3 linked regions of the Cricetulus griseus genome follow. Each later gene encodes a partner of the first gene's protein in a complex. Links are inferred from orthologs where the notes say so. Each region holds a gene or a part of one and is shown on either strand. Other genes may lie near its edges.

Region 1 (4,625 bases):
TACAGCTGCGTGTACTCGCTGAAAGTTGTAGCCAGTTCTCCAGTCCCAAAGGTGCATAGTGCCATTGTCAGCTGTGAAAGAAAGTTGTGGTTAGATTTCTATCCCTTCAACAGCTCAGATGATCCATGATCTAAGCATCACATCAGCAATACAAAGACACACCACACACACACACACACACACACACACACACACACACACACACACACACACACACACACCACACTCAAATTCCTCATTTGTGTTTAATTCACAACTATAGACCATAAAAGGCTCTATAACATTTGAAATTCAACCAAACATGGGACAATTCCTAGCATAAATTCCTATCTTTATCACATGGGAATTCAAAGAGTACTAAACTACACAACATGCTGCATGGATTATCAACACACTGTGATAGGTACATACACCCTAGTCAAGTGAGTGCCACTACAACATAGGTGTAATGCTGAAAGTAACTCACCCACTTTGACAAAAGGGCAAACTCAACACACCGTAAAAACCTTGCTTTACCTCCAGATACAAGTACTCCGTCAGCATTGACCGCCAGCGTGTTAATAATTGCATTATGACCAGAGAGATTTTGAATAAAGCCTCCATCAGGGAATTTCCACTGCTTTATGTTATCTGGAGACCCAGATGCAAATGTGTAACTAGAACAAAGATAGACAAGAATTAACGGAAAAGTACATTGCATCAAACAAACAACAAAAATCTCCCAGGTTCAAAAAATCACTGTCTGCTTACTGGCCCAGACAGACAGCTTCAGTAAACTGCTAAGTCCATCAAGTTGCAAAATCAGTATCTCCATCCCAAGTTCCACCAGTCTTTCAAATTGCAGAAGTGCATTTTAAATCCTAGAGTAATGTTTTCATTTCTTCCGGTTTTCTACACTAAATTAGCACAACCAACGTACACATGCAATGGGCAAAAACCTCTATGATAATTTTGGGGAAAAAGGAGAGAAGAGAGGGAAGGTGAAAGAGAAATAAAAATAAAAGGAAGGAGAAGAGGGGACAAGAAAGGAGGGAAAGGGCCCAGCAGAGGGTGAGTTAAAGGTGGCCGGATCTGAGGAACAGCTTGTGACTGTATGCTTGACTTCTCTGGCAATCATGACTGCAATGTTAATGGCTCTTCTTCGATCTTCCCCTCCTGTACATTAACTTCTTCCTAAAGGATTAAACTATTCTGTGTCTGTCTCAGACATTACAAGATACCATATATGGCACCATCTATGACATGTAAAAAGTAAAACATACTCAGCCATTATTACCTCCTACTTTAACATGCAGTTTTAAGCATGACTTAGTCTTATTTGTCACTATGTAGAGACTTCCTCCTTCATTCTATACAGGGCGTGAAGTAAAATAGCAGCAGACAGAAAATTAAAGAAAGTTTGTCCAAAAGCAGCACAGGCTGCAGGACTGCAAAAGCAGTGCTGATGTTGGAGTTCACTAAGGCATGGAGAAAGAAAAGCTAATTAGCAAAACATACTTACTGTCGTGGATGTAAGACCACAGCCCTGACTGACTTCTTATGATTGGTTAATGTTACTCTTGTCTTTCCAGCTACCAGATCCCACAATCGTATTGTTGTGTCGTGACTTCCTGTAACGAAAACACACACACACACATGAATACAAGTACAGAGAGAGAGAGAGAGAGAGAGAGAGAGAGAGAGAGACACACACACACACACACACACACACACACACACACACACACGGGGGGGGGGGGCGCGCGCGGACACGACAGAGAGACAATGACAGAATCCACAAGTTAGAATACAGTAAACACAAAGCACTCCTCTGTACATAAACATACACTAAGTAGAAGTCCTACCACTGTGAATACTTTCCTTACAGTTTTACTTTATATCTAGTTCTTTTTAAAATGCCTGATTGAGGCACTAGAGAGAAGGCTCAGTGTTGAATAGCACTTCTTAGCCTGGTTTGGTTCCCAGCACCCACACAGTGATGCACATCCATCTGTAACTCCGGTTCCAGAGAATCTGCCACTCTCTTCTGATCTATGTAGGCACCAGGTACACACATAATGTACATACACAGATGCAGGCAAAGCACTTCTACAAATAAATCTAAAAATAAGAAAAATAAATACCTGATTAACCTATCAAAATATATAAATAGCAAATGAACCAAACATGTAATTTTATCCCCCAGTGGCTGGGAAAGGAAAAGCTGAATTATTTCATCTTATATTTCTAATTAACAAAACCAAGTGAAAGAATGTTTTGTCACAGTAAAGTCCCAGTCATTCAAGTAAGACTCAAGTAAGACCAGATCTGAAGATGTTGGTGGCAGGGTATTTTCTAACTTTAACTCCCTAGAATGAGAGTCATGACACTCTAGAGCAACACTTGACTATCTAATGGCAGTTTTATAGACATCTTTCATAACACCTAACACATAAGTTTCAAATGCCATGATTAAAATACAAAGTGACACTAGAACACAACACAAAGCAGGAGTTGGAGGAGCTACAGCGCTGAATGGCAGTGCATCTGGTATGAAGAGACAGTAGGGTGGAGAAGCTTAGCATACCGGTAATTATCTGTGGTTCTGCAGCTTGGCACCTTACAGTGGCGACTGCATTCGTGTGTCCAGACAAAGTGTGGACACTGGCTTTTGTTCTCACATCCCAGATCTGTAAAAATATAACCAACATGCTATGAAAAATAATAGATATTTATACCTGAGAGCTCTAAGTTTTCCACACCAGTGTATCTGAACATAACGAAGAGAATGCATAAATGGGAGACAATGATCCACGTGCTATGGGGAAAGACAGAAGTCTAAAGATCAGGATACTGACCTATCAGCTTAGTCCCACAATGGGACAAGAGAATTAAGCTGGTAATGAACAAACATTGTGATGGCCTAGAGCAGTGGTTCTCACCTTCCTAATGTTGAAACCCTTTAAAACAATTTCTCATGTTGTGGTAAACCCCAACCATAAAATTATTTGTTGTTACTTCATAACCATAATTTTGCTACTGTTATGAATCATAATTTTTGTAAATTATGATTTTGTAAATTATGTAAATATTTGATAAGCAGAATGGTCTTATAACCCCTCTGAAAAGGTTGTTCAACCCTCAAAGGGGTCAAGACCCTCAGGTTGGGAACCACAGGCCAAGAATACAAAGCTGTCACAATTCAGTGGCAGGACATTGACAACAGCAAACAGAACAAACAGAGAAGGCACCAATCCTAAAAGAGACCAGACTGTTGATAAATCAAGAATCTATTGTTCTTTATGAGAAAATAACATGCTAATATCAAGTTTGCATATGAGAAGATACAGACACCAACAACTAGCACACAGCTACATCTCATTTACCCGGGCAGTTGAATCTCGACTACAAGTCACCAGGACATCAATTGTTGGATGCAAATCCAGACCATACACTGCACTTAGATGGCCATGATAGTGCCGTATAACCTGAAGATAAAAGCAGAAGTTCCGAGTTATAAAATTAGAATGATCAACACTGGGGCCTGGGGATACAGCTCCAAGGCAGAGAGTTGGTCTGGCTTGCAAAAGGCCCTGGATTCAATCCCAGTAGTGCAGTATAAACACAATGAACTGTGGCTCATGCAGTTTGAACACCTTTGCTCTAAGCTTACCTTGTTATACTCAAGATCCCAGCACTTCACTTGTTTGTCTTCTCCACAAGAGAACAAGTAAGGACTCCTTGTGCTTACGATCACACCCCGCACTGTGCTGATGTGGCCAGTCAATGACAGCTTTAATTTTCCACTAGCCAAGTCCCAAATCTGAAATCAAATAGTTGTTTTTCTTTACGTTGGTTACCGCCCCCACACACACACACACAAAATCAGAACACTCAGACTCTTTAAAATGATGCCTCTCCATATAAGAGGGAAAATAAGGCACATTCAGACTGGTAAGTATTTGCAAAAAGTGACAAGGACGAGGTTACTACTCTCAATACATAAAAAGATCTACTGATTGTGAAAATACCAACAACACAGCATTATCCATACTGAGGGAATAGCAACTTAATCCAGAAAAGTACCAAAGATAAAAATATTCACCCTCACTACATGTCTGTGTGTCTGTCCATTTCCAGTGCTCACATTAAGTGCACTCCTCTGACGAGCTATGTGGTCAGCATGATGGACCAACTATCAGCTCACTAACTTTGGAAAGAAATTTGCACTTTCCATACCAGTTCTAAGACATTTGTCCTAACATTTGTAGACTATCTAAACAAAAATACAATATACAAAAAGCAGTCTATGTAAAACAAATGCAAGCTTATTCCAATGAAAATTATCAAACTAAAAATTTTAATGTTGAGCAGTAAGGAACAGTTTATAGAATTATATGCACATTCTACCCATTTAAAAATCCTGAATTTTTCATAAGAATAGACCTTCAAGATGATGCTATGTGAGAAAAACAAGACTCAATAATAATAATAATAATAATAATAATAATAATAATAATAATAATAGAAAGACATACGAAAATAAATCCGTTTGAGGGTCTGTCCACCAGTGATAGTACTACCTGCCAGTCTAGGCTCTCTTATTCCACTTTTCACTACATCTACCTCTACAGAGAACTCTGAGT
Region 2 (6,022 bases), on another chromosome or scaffold:
GACTCTCCTGAAGCCAATGGAGCATCTTAGTCTTGTCTACACAGGGGCAAACAACAAAGAGACTGTCTCAAGGTGGAAGGTGAGTGAAGATTAAGGTTGTAGCGTACGCTAAAGGATGAATCAGTCCCCAGTCCGTGACGGTAAGATTTCTTTATTCAAGAAAGCACCAGGGCAAAACGCAGGCCAGAGCGAGGTTATAGGAACCCAGCCAGCGCGGCCAGAAAAGAAGAGCCAGGGTCTCCACGTGCAGCCCTTAAGAAGCTCCCTTACGTCACCCCAGCTTTCCTTCACCACGCCCTTATGGGCGAGTCCCGGGTCCACCTGGTACCTGTCCCAGGACTACTGGGCGGGGCTAGGGTGTCTCCCTACAGGTGAGTACCAACACCGGAGGCTGTCCTCTGACCTCCACGCGTGAGCCATGGCGTTTGCCCGCCCACACTTGCATGTACACACACTCACATCCCTCCCTAATACAAGCACAAGTGAGCTTCATCCTGAGTCAAGAGTTGCATCTAGCACTGAGTAGGTTCTTACTAATTATCTGTTGATTGTATTATTAATTACTTGTCCTGTTATAGATGAGAAAACTGCAACTTGGGGACATGGGAAGTAACTTGGCCAGTCTAGCTATGGCAGAAAGCTGGCTAGCCAGAGAAGTAGGAGTGTTTAACAACTGGCTCTCTGGGAGAATGGCTGACAGCTGTGATTTGTAGCATGGGTTGATCTTCATGACACAAATACTCCATCGTCGTGGGTGTTTCCAAGCTGATGTAAACTTGCTGGAAGATTCTCTGAAAACGAATTCTGGGTTTTTGCAAGGGTGTCTATCGAAGCTGACTGAATCAAGGCACAAACTAGGACACAATTTTGTTCATGGCCCAAAGGATTTGCTCTCACTGTTACTCTGTCCTGCCTCCCTTGAGGTCACAGTCTACACTTATAGGAATGGGAGGGGAAAGGCATGCAAATGAACTCTGTTAAATGCAGTTTTCGCAGGCCACCCTTTAAAAACAGAAACCCAGTCAGAAAACATCCCTGTTTAAACCATCTCAACAGCTTCCCAACGTAGGCAGCCTAAAATCCATCCTCCTTACCAAAGTTTACAAAGTCCATGGTATGAAGATGAAGATGACACATTCAATCCCAACTTTCAGAGAGTCTGAAGTCCAATTAGTAGAGGCTGCCAATAAATAAAACATCAACCATCAAGTACAAAATGACAGATTGAGACCTGTGAGCAGCAGAGGAAGTGCTAGCAGAAAGGTAACGAGGAGAGGATTTGGCAGTCTGCGGAATAACAATTTCCTTACAGTTGAATGGGGGGTTCTGGATGGGCTCTCATGTAATCCCTGAAGACAAACTCTTTAACCCTTTCAATAATGGGCAGATTTCTTTCCCAGAAACCTCTTTTTATAAGAATGTGGGTGTATGTGTGTATTTGCACACATGTATGCTGCTGGGTGTTCACCGAGGCCAGAAGAAAGCATCAGATCCTCTAGAACTAGAGTTTCAGGCAATTGTGAGCTGTCCTTGTTGGGGGTGCAGTAAATGCTCCTACATCGCTGAGCCGTCTCTCCAGACCCCCATTAGCCTTTTCAATACTACTTGGGTAGATAGGAGATCATGCCATTGCCATTGGGTAGACGAATAGACAGAAGCTCAGAGGCAAATGTGATATCAACGGTTTCTCAGCCAATAATAATCTATGGCCAGGTGCCATTTCGTGAGCCAACACTAACCCGTGGACGCATGAAGGCACCCCAAAACAAAGCCCGCATAAGCAGGCCGGGCGGTGGTGGCGCACGCCTTCAACCCCAGCACTCGGGAGTCAGAGGCAGGAGGGTCTCTGTGAGCTCGAGGCCAGTCTGGTCTACGAGAGCGAGTTCCAGGACAGCCTCCAAACCAATAATAAAGAGAAACCCTGTTTTGAAAAACCAAAAAGGAAAAGAAAGAAAAAGGAAAAAAAATCCGCATATGCAATTTTAGCGTATTCCAAACCTGTTTCTTTATCTGGAAGCCTAGTAAGGGTGTGCACACCCGCCCTGCCCTGTGCCCTCCACTTAGGTTAGGATCCTTTACCTAAGTATCCGCCCCCTTTCCCGCCCCTTCAGGATCCCGGCGGAAGCTGCAGAGTCAAAGCGCGGCGCGCTTTATGGTCGCACTTCCTTTCACGGCAGTGTGGCGGTCCCGCCGGCCTCGCGCTCTCTTACTCTATTGGTTCTGAGGCCCCTCTCCGGGCGCTTTACGGCAGTGTGGCAGGAAAAGCCGCTGAGCCACCGGTGGTTCCGGAGTGAGTGGAGGTAACCAGGGCACCCTGTGCTGATTGGGTCTGGAACCATGGACGTGGGCGAACTTTTAAGCTACCAGGTAAGTGAAGTTGGCAGGGCCGGAGGGCCCCTCATCCCCGCCGGGGTCGCAGGGCCAGAGTCCCGTCATCTCGCCTCCTCTGGGTCTCTGGCCCTCACTTCTCATGCTACCCGGGGTTCTAGCCTGTCATTGCACTTGGCTTGCCGAAGCCCTCGCGGACCCTTTCGATTTCTTCCTTCTCCAGGCCTGTTCCCTTTGATCTCCCTTTCCTACCCGGAAGCCTGGTTCCCTTCTGCTCATCTTTGGTCTCGTTTCTACCAATTCGTAGGGCTTGAGGCAGGTGTGGAGAGCACTGCTTTTTCCTCCGGGTTGAGCCTCAGTTTCTCTACCAACTGCCGGTGTAGCTTTGGATGAGTCTTTACCCTGTCGCTGAGCCTCAGTTTGTTTGTTTATTTAAGTATATTACATGGATATATGTGAAAGGCCATTTGAAACCTTTGCTGATGTACCCGCAATTAAGATGGAAAATGGAGCATGGGATGGGGTCGGTAAGAGACTTCTTGACCTCCTTGCTCAGGGTACTGGTGAACCTGTGGCCTAGAAGGAAGAAAGGACTTGCCTGAGGTCACTAGACAATTACAAACTAGGATTAATTGGAACTCAAGGGTTCAGGCTCGAAATTCAAACTTTCTGCCCTCTTTTGACTGCCTAAGGCCTCGCATTTGCTAGTCTCAATAGTGTTGGAACCTGTGAACTGTAATTAGTTTGAATTAGGAAGTACTGTAATTATAAATTACACTGGATTTTAAAGACCAAATGAAAAAGGTAGTATTTTTATATTGATTACACGAATCTTGATCATTGGTCATATTAATTGAATCATCCTACGGGGTAATGGGTGAAGTAAAATATAATTGAAGCCATACCCATTTGTGTTGACTTTTTAAAAGTGTGGCTACTAGCAATAGCTCCGAAGTCAAGGATAGGCAATAATAAGGTGAACTTGAGTTGCTGCTGCCGAATGCCTTTAGTCTCAGCGCCTGAAAGCTGGGAGGTAGAGGCAGGAGGTGACTTCTAGGTCAGCCAGGGCTACATAGTGAGACCCCACTCCCCAAACATAAGACCTGAATTTGGAGCCCCAGGTTGCTTGCAATCTCCTTTTTCTTACTGATTGTTATAACTTTGAACAAAATACCTCATGATGCCGACCTCTTGGTCTGTTGGGAAGCTATTAAATTGTTAGACCAATGTTTGTTGCTTAGTAAAGCAGCCCATAAGTAGTAATATTGATGGTTATTTCCCTTAGTCAATATATAAAAGACTGGCCCCAGAGACAGAGACTCCAGACATAAATAGAAAGAATTTCTAAGCAACCAGAAGATGTGAGACCATAATATTTTTCTCTTTAAAATGTAGTGCCGGTGGTTGGTTGTGCACGCCTTTAATCCCAGCACTCAGGAGGCAGAGGCAGTCGGATTTCTGTGAGTTTGAAGCCAGCCTGGTCTACAGGGTGAGTTCCAGGACAGGCTCCAAAGCAGTACTGAGAAACCCTGTCTTGAAAAACCAAAAAGGAAAAAACAAAATGACAGCGTAGCTGGGTGGTGGTAGCACACACCTTTGCTAAGTGCTCCTCCCAGTGCTAAGGAGGCAGAGGCAGGAGGATCTCTGAGTTGGAGGCTAGCTGGGTCTACAGAACGAGTTCTAGGACAGCCAGGACTACACAGAGAAAACAAACAAAAAGACAGTGTATTTGATGATGGAATAAGAACAGTAGTGGGCAAGTCACTGATGAGTACTTATTTGGGAGTTATGGGCTGGCTAGTGGAGTCCATTGACTCCGATCTGAGCGGTACTGCCAGAAAAGTTCCATTCTTTGGTTACAGATATTTATTCAACATCCACTATGTACAAGGTACTGGGTCCACTGAGCATATCATGTGGCATAAATGAGACAAGGCTTTTACTTTTGTATGAAAGGCAAATATGGGGTGGGGGGAGTCTCCAAAGGACATTAAGTAAACAAGAAATTGAGATTTCTGGGAGTGTTGTGAAGGGAGGATAGCAGAATCCGCTGTGAAAATGTGAGCATGGTTTGAGGCCTGCTAGGCACATAACTGTTGGACACCAAGTGTGGCCCATCTGCATCCAGCCCCTTCAATATGTGTAATGCACACACTGGGCTTCAAAGCTATGAAAAAGGAGCCGGGCGGTGGTGTCACATGCCTTTGATCCCAGCACTCCGAAGGCAGAGGCAGGCGGATCTCTGTGAGTTCGAGACCAGCCTGGTCTACAAGAGCTAGTTCCAGGACAGCCTCCAAAGCCACAGAGAAACCCTTTCTGGAAAAACAAACAAAAAAAGCTATGAAAAAATGAAAATGAAGTATCTTAATTTTTATGTAGATTGCATTGATATAATGGATTAAGGGAAATAGGTTATTAAACTTAAATTTTGTGCTTACTTCAAAATTTCAACTTACATATAAAGTTTTTTTTTGTGACTTTCATTCTGTTTTTTTGGACAGCACTGCTGTAAATCACCCCTTTCAGGGCCTCTGTGGACTGAGTGGTCAGGGAGGGAGTGCGACAAACCAGCGTTAGTGCTCTGAAGGTTGAGAAGGAGTCGGTCATGATAGAGCAGAATGTTGAAGGCAGGAACAGCAGCTATGAGCATAGGCTCCAGGCCTATTAGGTGAGCAGAGATAAGAGCCATGTAGCCAGAACTTGGTATGAGAGCCGGATACCAGAAGGTGATGAAGCTGGAGATGTAGACAGAGGACAGTCTTTGTAGGACTTTCTGTGGGCCAGGAGAAAGCCTTTGCATTTTGAGAGGCGATACGGATGTCTTCATTCAACCCACTTGTTTTGAACAAGAACTCTGGTCTGATAGGCAGACATAGCTGAAGTCACAGGCCAAGGTGGTGACTGACAGGCCAAAGCAGTGGCTGACATGTCACCAGAATCTTGGTCTTGTATTTGCAGCTCTGTTCCTTTGAGCAGGGTCTACCTCCATTCCTCTCTTGAAAAGACAGTGGTGCCTGGAGTCTAGTTTGTAATCAGTCAAACACAGCCATCCTCCTGTGGGAAATCTTGAGGACCAGATGAGCTTATGGAAGTGAAAATGCTTAGAAGACAGTGATAACCTAACATGAAATAATTATTTACCTGCATCCTCACTAAATAGATCTATGAGGAATTTCCTTCCTGCCCCCTTTTTTTTGGTCAGGATCTTATGTAGACCAGGCTGTCCTCAAACTCACTATGTAGTCAGGGATGACCTTGGATTTTTTACCCTCCTGCACCACCCCCCAAATGCTGGGATTACAGGTGTGCACAAAACACCTGGTTTATGGTATGCTGTGGACTGGCAGGGTTTCTTGAATGTTTGGCAAGCACTCTACCAATTGTGCTACATCCCTAGCCTGGTGGGGGGAATCCCCCTCACCCCACAGGGTTTCACTATGTGACCCTAGCTGGCTTGGAGACCAGGCTACCCTTAAACTTACAAAGATCTACCTGCTGCTTGCCTTTGCCTCTGGAGTGCTGTGATTAGAGACTTGCATGATCACTCCCGGAATGAGGAACTGTTTTTAATCCCCATCTTACAGTGGAGGAAACTGAGACCCAATTGAAGGTACCTAGCTAGGGAATACTCAGGCAGTTGTGTTTCATAGCTGGAGCTCCTGATTGCTGTACTGGTCTGTCTGTGTGCCTTGCA
Region 3 (6,038 bases), on another chromosome or scaffold:
TATTCCAAAAGAAAATATTTTGAGTGAATAACAGAATTTCCCTTAAGGTAAGGTTTCTTATTTTAATAACTCTGTGTACTCTATAATTGTTGACATATGTATGCAATTAGATACTGCTTAAGAAAGGTCATCCTTGTATGTTCAGTTCTATAAAAAGTGGCAAAGTGAAGTTGAGAGCCAGGTGTAGTAGACACAGTTGTAAACCCAGCACTCAGGAGGCTGAAGTCTAAGGCTGGAAGCCTGTGATTACTAGGCCAGCCTGAGCTACAGACAACAACAACAACAGCAACAATAACAAAAGGCTGTAGGGTCCCAGTAAGCATTTATGCTCAATCTGTTCAGATTGAGGGGCCCATGTGCATTATGTGTCTAAGTAGGACATGGTATCTAAGGAAAAGAAAGTGCAGAACTAGGTAGAATGCTCAAAGGTGCTGTTCATAGGCACTCAGCCTGAGAGTGTCCTGTGGAGTTACAGCAAGGCAGCTTAACCTTCTACATGACTGACAATTCAGTCACAGGTGGGCATGTCCTTTTTCACAGACTGCTTTCATGCAGCCCTCCAAACTAAACCTCTAGTAAAAGATTTGAGGCAGAAGAATACTTTGTTTTAAAAACAATTATTAAGTTTAAAGTTGAGGTAAATGATACATTTCAGTAACAGTAGGTAAAAATAAATACCGATCATTTCACAAAGTCAAAATAAAAAAAAATAAAGAAAATATGACAAGTTGGGCCCAATGGCAGAGGCCCATTTCTAGCACTTAGGAGGTGTTAAAAAGAGAACAACAACAAAAAAGCCAACCCCAAAACTACATACATCTGTGAGAGGATCATCGGCATCAAGGTTGGCAGCTGGAATCTGGTCTAGGCGGGGCTTCTTTGACACTGAAGAGGAAGTTGTATGTTCTGAAGAAAACAAACATTTAGCTTAATGAAACAAATACTGCATTTTAAAATAACATTTTAGAAACTTTTGGGCAAAAAGAATCCACACAAAAAAAACATAGTGACAGCAGGGATTCCCCCAATGGCTGGCAAATAAGCCTTTGATAAATATATGGTAGTAAATATTAAATGAATTAATGAGTTATGAGGATGGCAGCATCTCAGGAAACTTAGCCAATGTTCATACATACTAGAAACACAAGAAGGGTTACTGACGCATCTCAACTACATGGAGGAATGAATAAAATGGGGCAGCTCTGGATAGAAGGCCTGGGTTCCAGCTGCTGTAAAGCCAAAGTCTAACGACAGGTACTGAAATGATGGCTTTGAAACACCATTTCTTCTAATACCAAAGCATGAGAAGATGGAACTGGAATGAACGTCATTATTATCTCTAATCATTTATCAAAGAGGTATAGTACACAAAAACATCATCTCCAATGACCAACACACAAACAATCTCCACCAAATAACTTTGAGACAGACACTAAGAACAGTGTAGGTACCTCGGGTTGGACGGTCCCTATTTTTTTCCCTTGCAGCAGCTCTCTCTCTCTCTTCCAACTCTCTCCTAAAGTCACGGTTACGAACCTCTTCAGGGGCATCCTGTGTAGTTTGTCTTAAGAAGAAAGAAACTGGGTTAAAAATGTTACTCTCACTTGTCAAGGAAAAGAACCTATAAGGCTACAGTAATTTAAGACAATTTAGGATACAACTATCTCTGACCAATAAAATGAAAGAGGACACGATAATAAGGGACACCTGCGATGTTTTCAGTATTACTATTAGAACAAACTAAAGCACACACTCTCCTCCAACATGAAATGTCTGAATGAAATGTCTTTGTTTTTTTAAACTATTAATCAACTCAAGGGCTGTCACAGTAACGCTTCCATATTCACTACAGTTCAGTCTTCTCTGAGGTACTTATCATGAATGAGTGCTTCATCTACACACAGGAATTTCTGGTTGATAGGAATGTCTACTGAAAGAACGTCCAGTAACACTTAAAAACCACAGAGTATAATTTATTGTAAACCCCTTTGAATTCCATTTCTTTGAAGATAGGTAACAAATACAACAATCTAGACACAGTCATAAGTCATGCAGGTTTGGTCCCATTCTGTGAACAAGACAAACCAAGGCCTTATTACCTGTATTTTATCTTTGTATGAGAGGGGAGGTCTCTGCTTGAATACTGCTTTGAAAGCTGGCTCAAATCCCCTTCTCCTTTTCCTCGTCCACCTCTTGCAGGTTCAAAAGTTGGCCTGGCTGCTGTTGTCATCTTTTATTCTTTGACAAAAGTGAGATTAAGTTATATTCGGTAGAACTCTCATCTTAGAAATCATTCATAAATATCTATCCTTATGACTAATTCCCAAAACTCTCCCACAAATTGCTTAAGTAGTTTGTTTTAACACAAATTTCTACAAGTTCAGAATTATGAAACTCAAGTTGCACATGAGATATGTCCTGCCAGGCAGCTCTTAATTAAAAAAAAACAAACAAATAAGCAACAACAACAACAAAAAACCCAAAACTTATTTGAAGATCTGAGTTTGTGCTTTTGTTCTAGCTAAGTAGACTTGGGCAAGTCTCTTAGCTTGTTTTTGTCATCTCTGGAATGCTGATATTTCTGTAGTGTTATTATGACAATTCTGACAAATGATGGCAGATCTCATACAATAGTGTAATGTGGCTTTTAAAAAAAATAACTGTTTTAAAAATTCTTATCTTACTAGCACTAGGTTCTCTTGAATTTGTTTGTTTGTTTTGTTTTGATAGGGTCTTAATATGTAGCTCTGGCTGACCTGGAACCCTCCAGGGATCTACCCAACTCTGCCTCTGGAAAGTTGGAATTAAAGGTGTGGACCACCACGCCTAGCCAAGATCTGCATTTCTATGAGAAACCTCACACAACAGTAAATAAACCGAAAGGAAAAAAAAAATACGCAAACAAAACACCAAGTTTCTTCTAAAGTCACGGATCACTCTCAAACTTTAGTGTCTCAGAGTGAGTTTGTTTAAAACCCAATGACATTCACGCGGGCCACACTACCCAAAACCCAGTTGATGCAATTCTCTTCTCCAACAGTTACCCTAACACGTAGAAAACCTTTGGTACGATGCAACTTTAGCAGTGCTCAGAAAACCGAAACCCCACCCCGAGAAATATCAAGAGCCCATCCCGAACTGGGGTGTACTTCTGGGACCACCCCAGGCGCTCGGAAGGTGAAAGCGGGAGAAGCACGAGTTCGAAGCTAGCCTGGGGCTACACGAGACTGTCGCTACAGCAACAAGAGAACCTTGTGCCACTTTCAACTTGGAGCTGTCACATCAGAATTCCGGCGGACCGACTGGGCTGCTAGGCCTCCGTTAGCGTGAGCAGCGCGCTCAGACAGACCCGGAGGGAAGGAGCTTCGTCCCCATCCCGCCCTGCTGCTCCTCGGTGTCAGCGGCCGGCGCCGCGCCGGTGCCCGCCCGGGGCTCGGCCGAAGCTCCCGACCGCCATGCCGGGCCTGGGGCCCCGGCCGTCCTCCCGGCAGCGATCCCGGCCCCCCGGCGCCACCCTCGCAGGGACCACAAAGCCCCATGCACCCCTGCCGCTCGCTCACTCCGGCGGGGTCCCACGCAGCGCCTTGGGAGGCTCACCCACGAACCATCGCAGCTCCCAGCTCCCAGAAAGCTCCGCGCCGGGGCAGCCAGCCCAAGACCGGAAACAAACCGCTTGGCGTCTAGCTCCTCACCTGGGGGGCTCAGTTAAGACCCGGAAGCAAAAATCTTGGCACTTCCAACGGCCGCGTCGGAAGCTTAAGCTCCACACCCGGAAGCAAACCTGAGGGTTTTTTGTAACCGTTTCTCAGAGGCTGGTGCGCCGACCAATCCGCAGAGACCCTGGAGGAAGTTGGCGTGACGTCGTCGAGGGGCGGAGCCAGGGCGGCCCAGGGGGCGGGTGTTTGAAACCGGTGCTTGGGAGTCGAACCTAAATATCTGTGTTTTTTTGAGAGCCAATTACTTAATCTGTCTTGCGTCTTTTCCTTCCCCGACCCCCTCCCAGACTCCTCCGCTGCGGTGCTGCGAGGACCGAAGGCGCCGGGGAGTCGGCCCCGCGTCGGGCAAGCGTGAGATCTGAGGAGAGCGCGCCCGCTGGCCCAACGGCTCCCGCTCCTCAGTAGACCCCGCAGCCTAGGGACTAGAGTTGTCACTTAAGTGGATGTGAAGAAGGCGCACATAAGTACGGGGGCAGCCACGAGCTTTCCAAAGGTACCATTCCTGCGAAACCACTATCCTCGGAGGCAGGGGTCGTAGTCGCATTGCTTGTTAAGATATAGATACATAGAGATAATATGCATTAAGCCGCGTAGTGTGAGGGGAGAGGCCGTAAGCGTTAACGACAGCCAGCGTTTAGAGAACAGTGGGCTTAACTGCCAGGAGGAGCATGAGCTGCAATTAAGATGGCTTCCTCATCGTTGTCTTGGTGGTGCCCTATCCTTGAGATCTTGGGAGACGATAGATGCTCAGTACGTTCTCCAGTTTGTCCCAAGTGGAAGGACCGCCTAAAATCGAACATTTCGGTGCCTTCCTTTGGAACTTTTTAAATGAAGAAGGAAAATTAGAACAGATTCTTCCCCCCCTCTTCCTCCTTCCCCGTCCCCCCTCTCCCCCCCAAGTGGAAGGTAAAACATTTCTTTTTCTCATGGAAGCTATATACCTCCCTCAACCTCACACAACCTAAGAACACCATCAGATTAGCGGCTCAAGCCCAAGGTCCACCTCTGTCACTCTTCACATCCCGTTCACTTGCCAATCTTGTCCAGTATTGTGAGAATTACCCTGAAGTTCATTTCCCTGTCACCACATTCATTCAGGCTGCTGTCATTTTCCTCTTGTATTTGTAAATTGCTTCCAAATGGACTTTCCTGAGGTTTTGCACAGAATGACGGAGTTAGGGTACTTAGGATAAAACAGCCACTTGTCTTAACTTGATTCTGAGGATTCTTTATAGTCTGTCTCATGCCCACCTTCCTGGCTTCAGTCAGTCATGGGTACACCATGCTCTAGATGCACTCAACAGGACGTCTCTGTTTCTCAGAGCAAGGCAGGGTTCCCTGTTTATTTTGAGTTTTGAGACAAGGTCTTGCTATGTAGCCCAGGCTGGCTTTGAACTGCAAGTTCTATGTATCCTGACTGACCATCCTCAGCCTCCAGAATGCAAGCATACTATCTTCTAGTTTTTAAAGTTTCCCACTGTATTCTTTGCCTATGTCCCCAACACTGCTGTGAGGACATTATTTTCAGGTCTTAGTCACTGCTGCTTCCTCAGTGGGATTTCCCCTGGCATGGATACTGTGTTTCTCCTATGCATAGATTTATAGCCCCCAGTTCTATACTTTCATAATACTGAACACCAGCTAGGTTTACTGTTTGTTTTCATTACCTTTTGCACCTTTTTCTTCTTGGTTGAGCCAAAGTATTGAGAACAAGTATCTGTGACTCTTTTGGCTTTAACTCCAGTTCTGCTCTCCCTCGATGTGTACAGTTGCATAAACCATTTTCCCTTTGATGCCCTCCATTCCTTGTGCAAAATTGGGGGTAATTCTTTCTGGTACTTTAGTGGTTACATAAGTATTTGTAAAGTGCTTAGAACTATCTCAGCAAGCAGACTCGATAAATCAGTATTGGCTGGTACTCATATTATTATTGTCTGTCTAAGGGCAGTAGAACCTGAATTCCAGAAAAACAGGAACCCTGATTATTCACTGGTGTCCTCTGCATATAGAACAGTACTTGGTACATAACAGGTGCTGAGTAAGTACTGGTTGAATGAGTGAATGACATGTTATAAAGGAGGAATGAAATTTCTATGGCAAAATGGTAACAGGAAACTACCCAGTTTTTTTTCATTCCAGCTGCCTTTATCAACCCCTCAATAATCCATTTAAATTTTTATTTTATTAATTAACACTTGATGATTCCATTATAATTTAGCAAAAGAAAATTAGTTCACAAAATTAAAATCATTTGATTAAAATAGTCTGGAAGTATTAATAAGAAAGGGAAAACCAAAAAAGTTTTTTTAACTTTGAGGACTT

Evidence for each region. The genes of interacting proteins can lie anywhere in the genome.
Region 2: Plrg1 (region 1) and Ctnnbl1 share a complex: the UniProt entries of both Homo sapiens proteins name them as parts of the PRP19-CDC5L splicing complex. The link is inferred for Cricetulus griseus from reciprocal best matches to the Homo sapiens genes PLRG1 and CTNNBL1.
Region 3: Plrg1 (region 1) and Cwc15 share a complex: the UniProt entries of both Homo sapiens proteins name them as parts of the PRP19-CDC5L splicing complex. The link is inferred for Cricetulus griseus from reciprocal best matches to the Homo sapiens genes PLRG1 and CWC15.

The regions. Positions count from the first base shown.
Region 1 is NW_023276806.1:71,272,749-71,277,373, forward strand, and holds part of Plrg1 (pleiotropic regulator 1), read right to left. Parts: intron 3,803-4,625; coding exon 3,653-3,802; intron 3,468-3,652; coding exon 3,366-3,467; intron 2,670-3,365; coding exon 2,567-2,669; intron 1,611-2,566; coding exon 1,502-1,610; intron 657-1,501; coding exon 517-656; intron 72-516; coding exon 1-71. UniProt on the Homo sapiens protein: Involved in pre-mRNA splicing as component of the spliceosome. Component of the PRP19-CDC5L complex that forms an integral part of the spliceosome and is required for activating pre-mRNA splicing.
Region 2 is NC_048599.1:21,837,613-21,843,634, reverse strand, and holds the start of Ctnnbl1 (beta-catenin-like protein 1), read left to right. Parts: upstream 1-2,190; 5' UTR 2,191-2,337; coding exon 2,338-2,367; intron 2,368-6,022. UniProt on the Homo sapiens protein: Component of the PRP19-CDC5L complex that forms an integral part of the spliceosome and is required for activating pre-mRNA splicing.
Region 3 is NC_048597.1:127,974,116-127,980,153, reverse strand, and holds the start of Cwc15 (spliceosome-associated protein CWC15 homolog), read right to left. Parts: upstream 3,833-6,038; 5' UTR 3,693-3,832; exon of another isoform or gene 3,561-3,692; intron 2,239-3,560; 5' UTR 2,231-2,238; coding exon 2,100-2,230; intron 1,565-2,099; coding exon 1,452-1,564; intron 907-1,451; coding exon 818-906; intron 1-817. UniProt on the Homo sapiens protein: Involved in pre-mRNA splicing as component of the spliceosome. Component of the PRP19-CDC5L complex that forms an integral part of the spliceosome and is required for activating pre-mRNA splicing.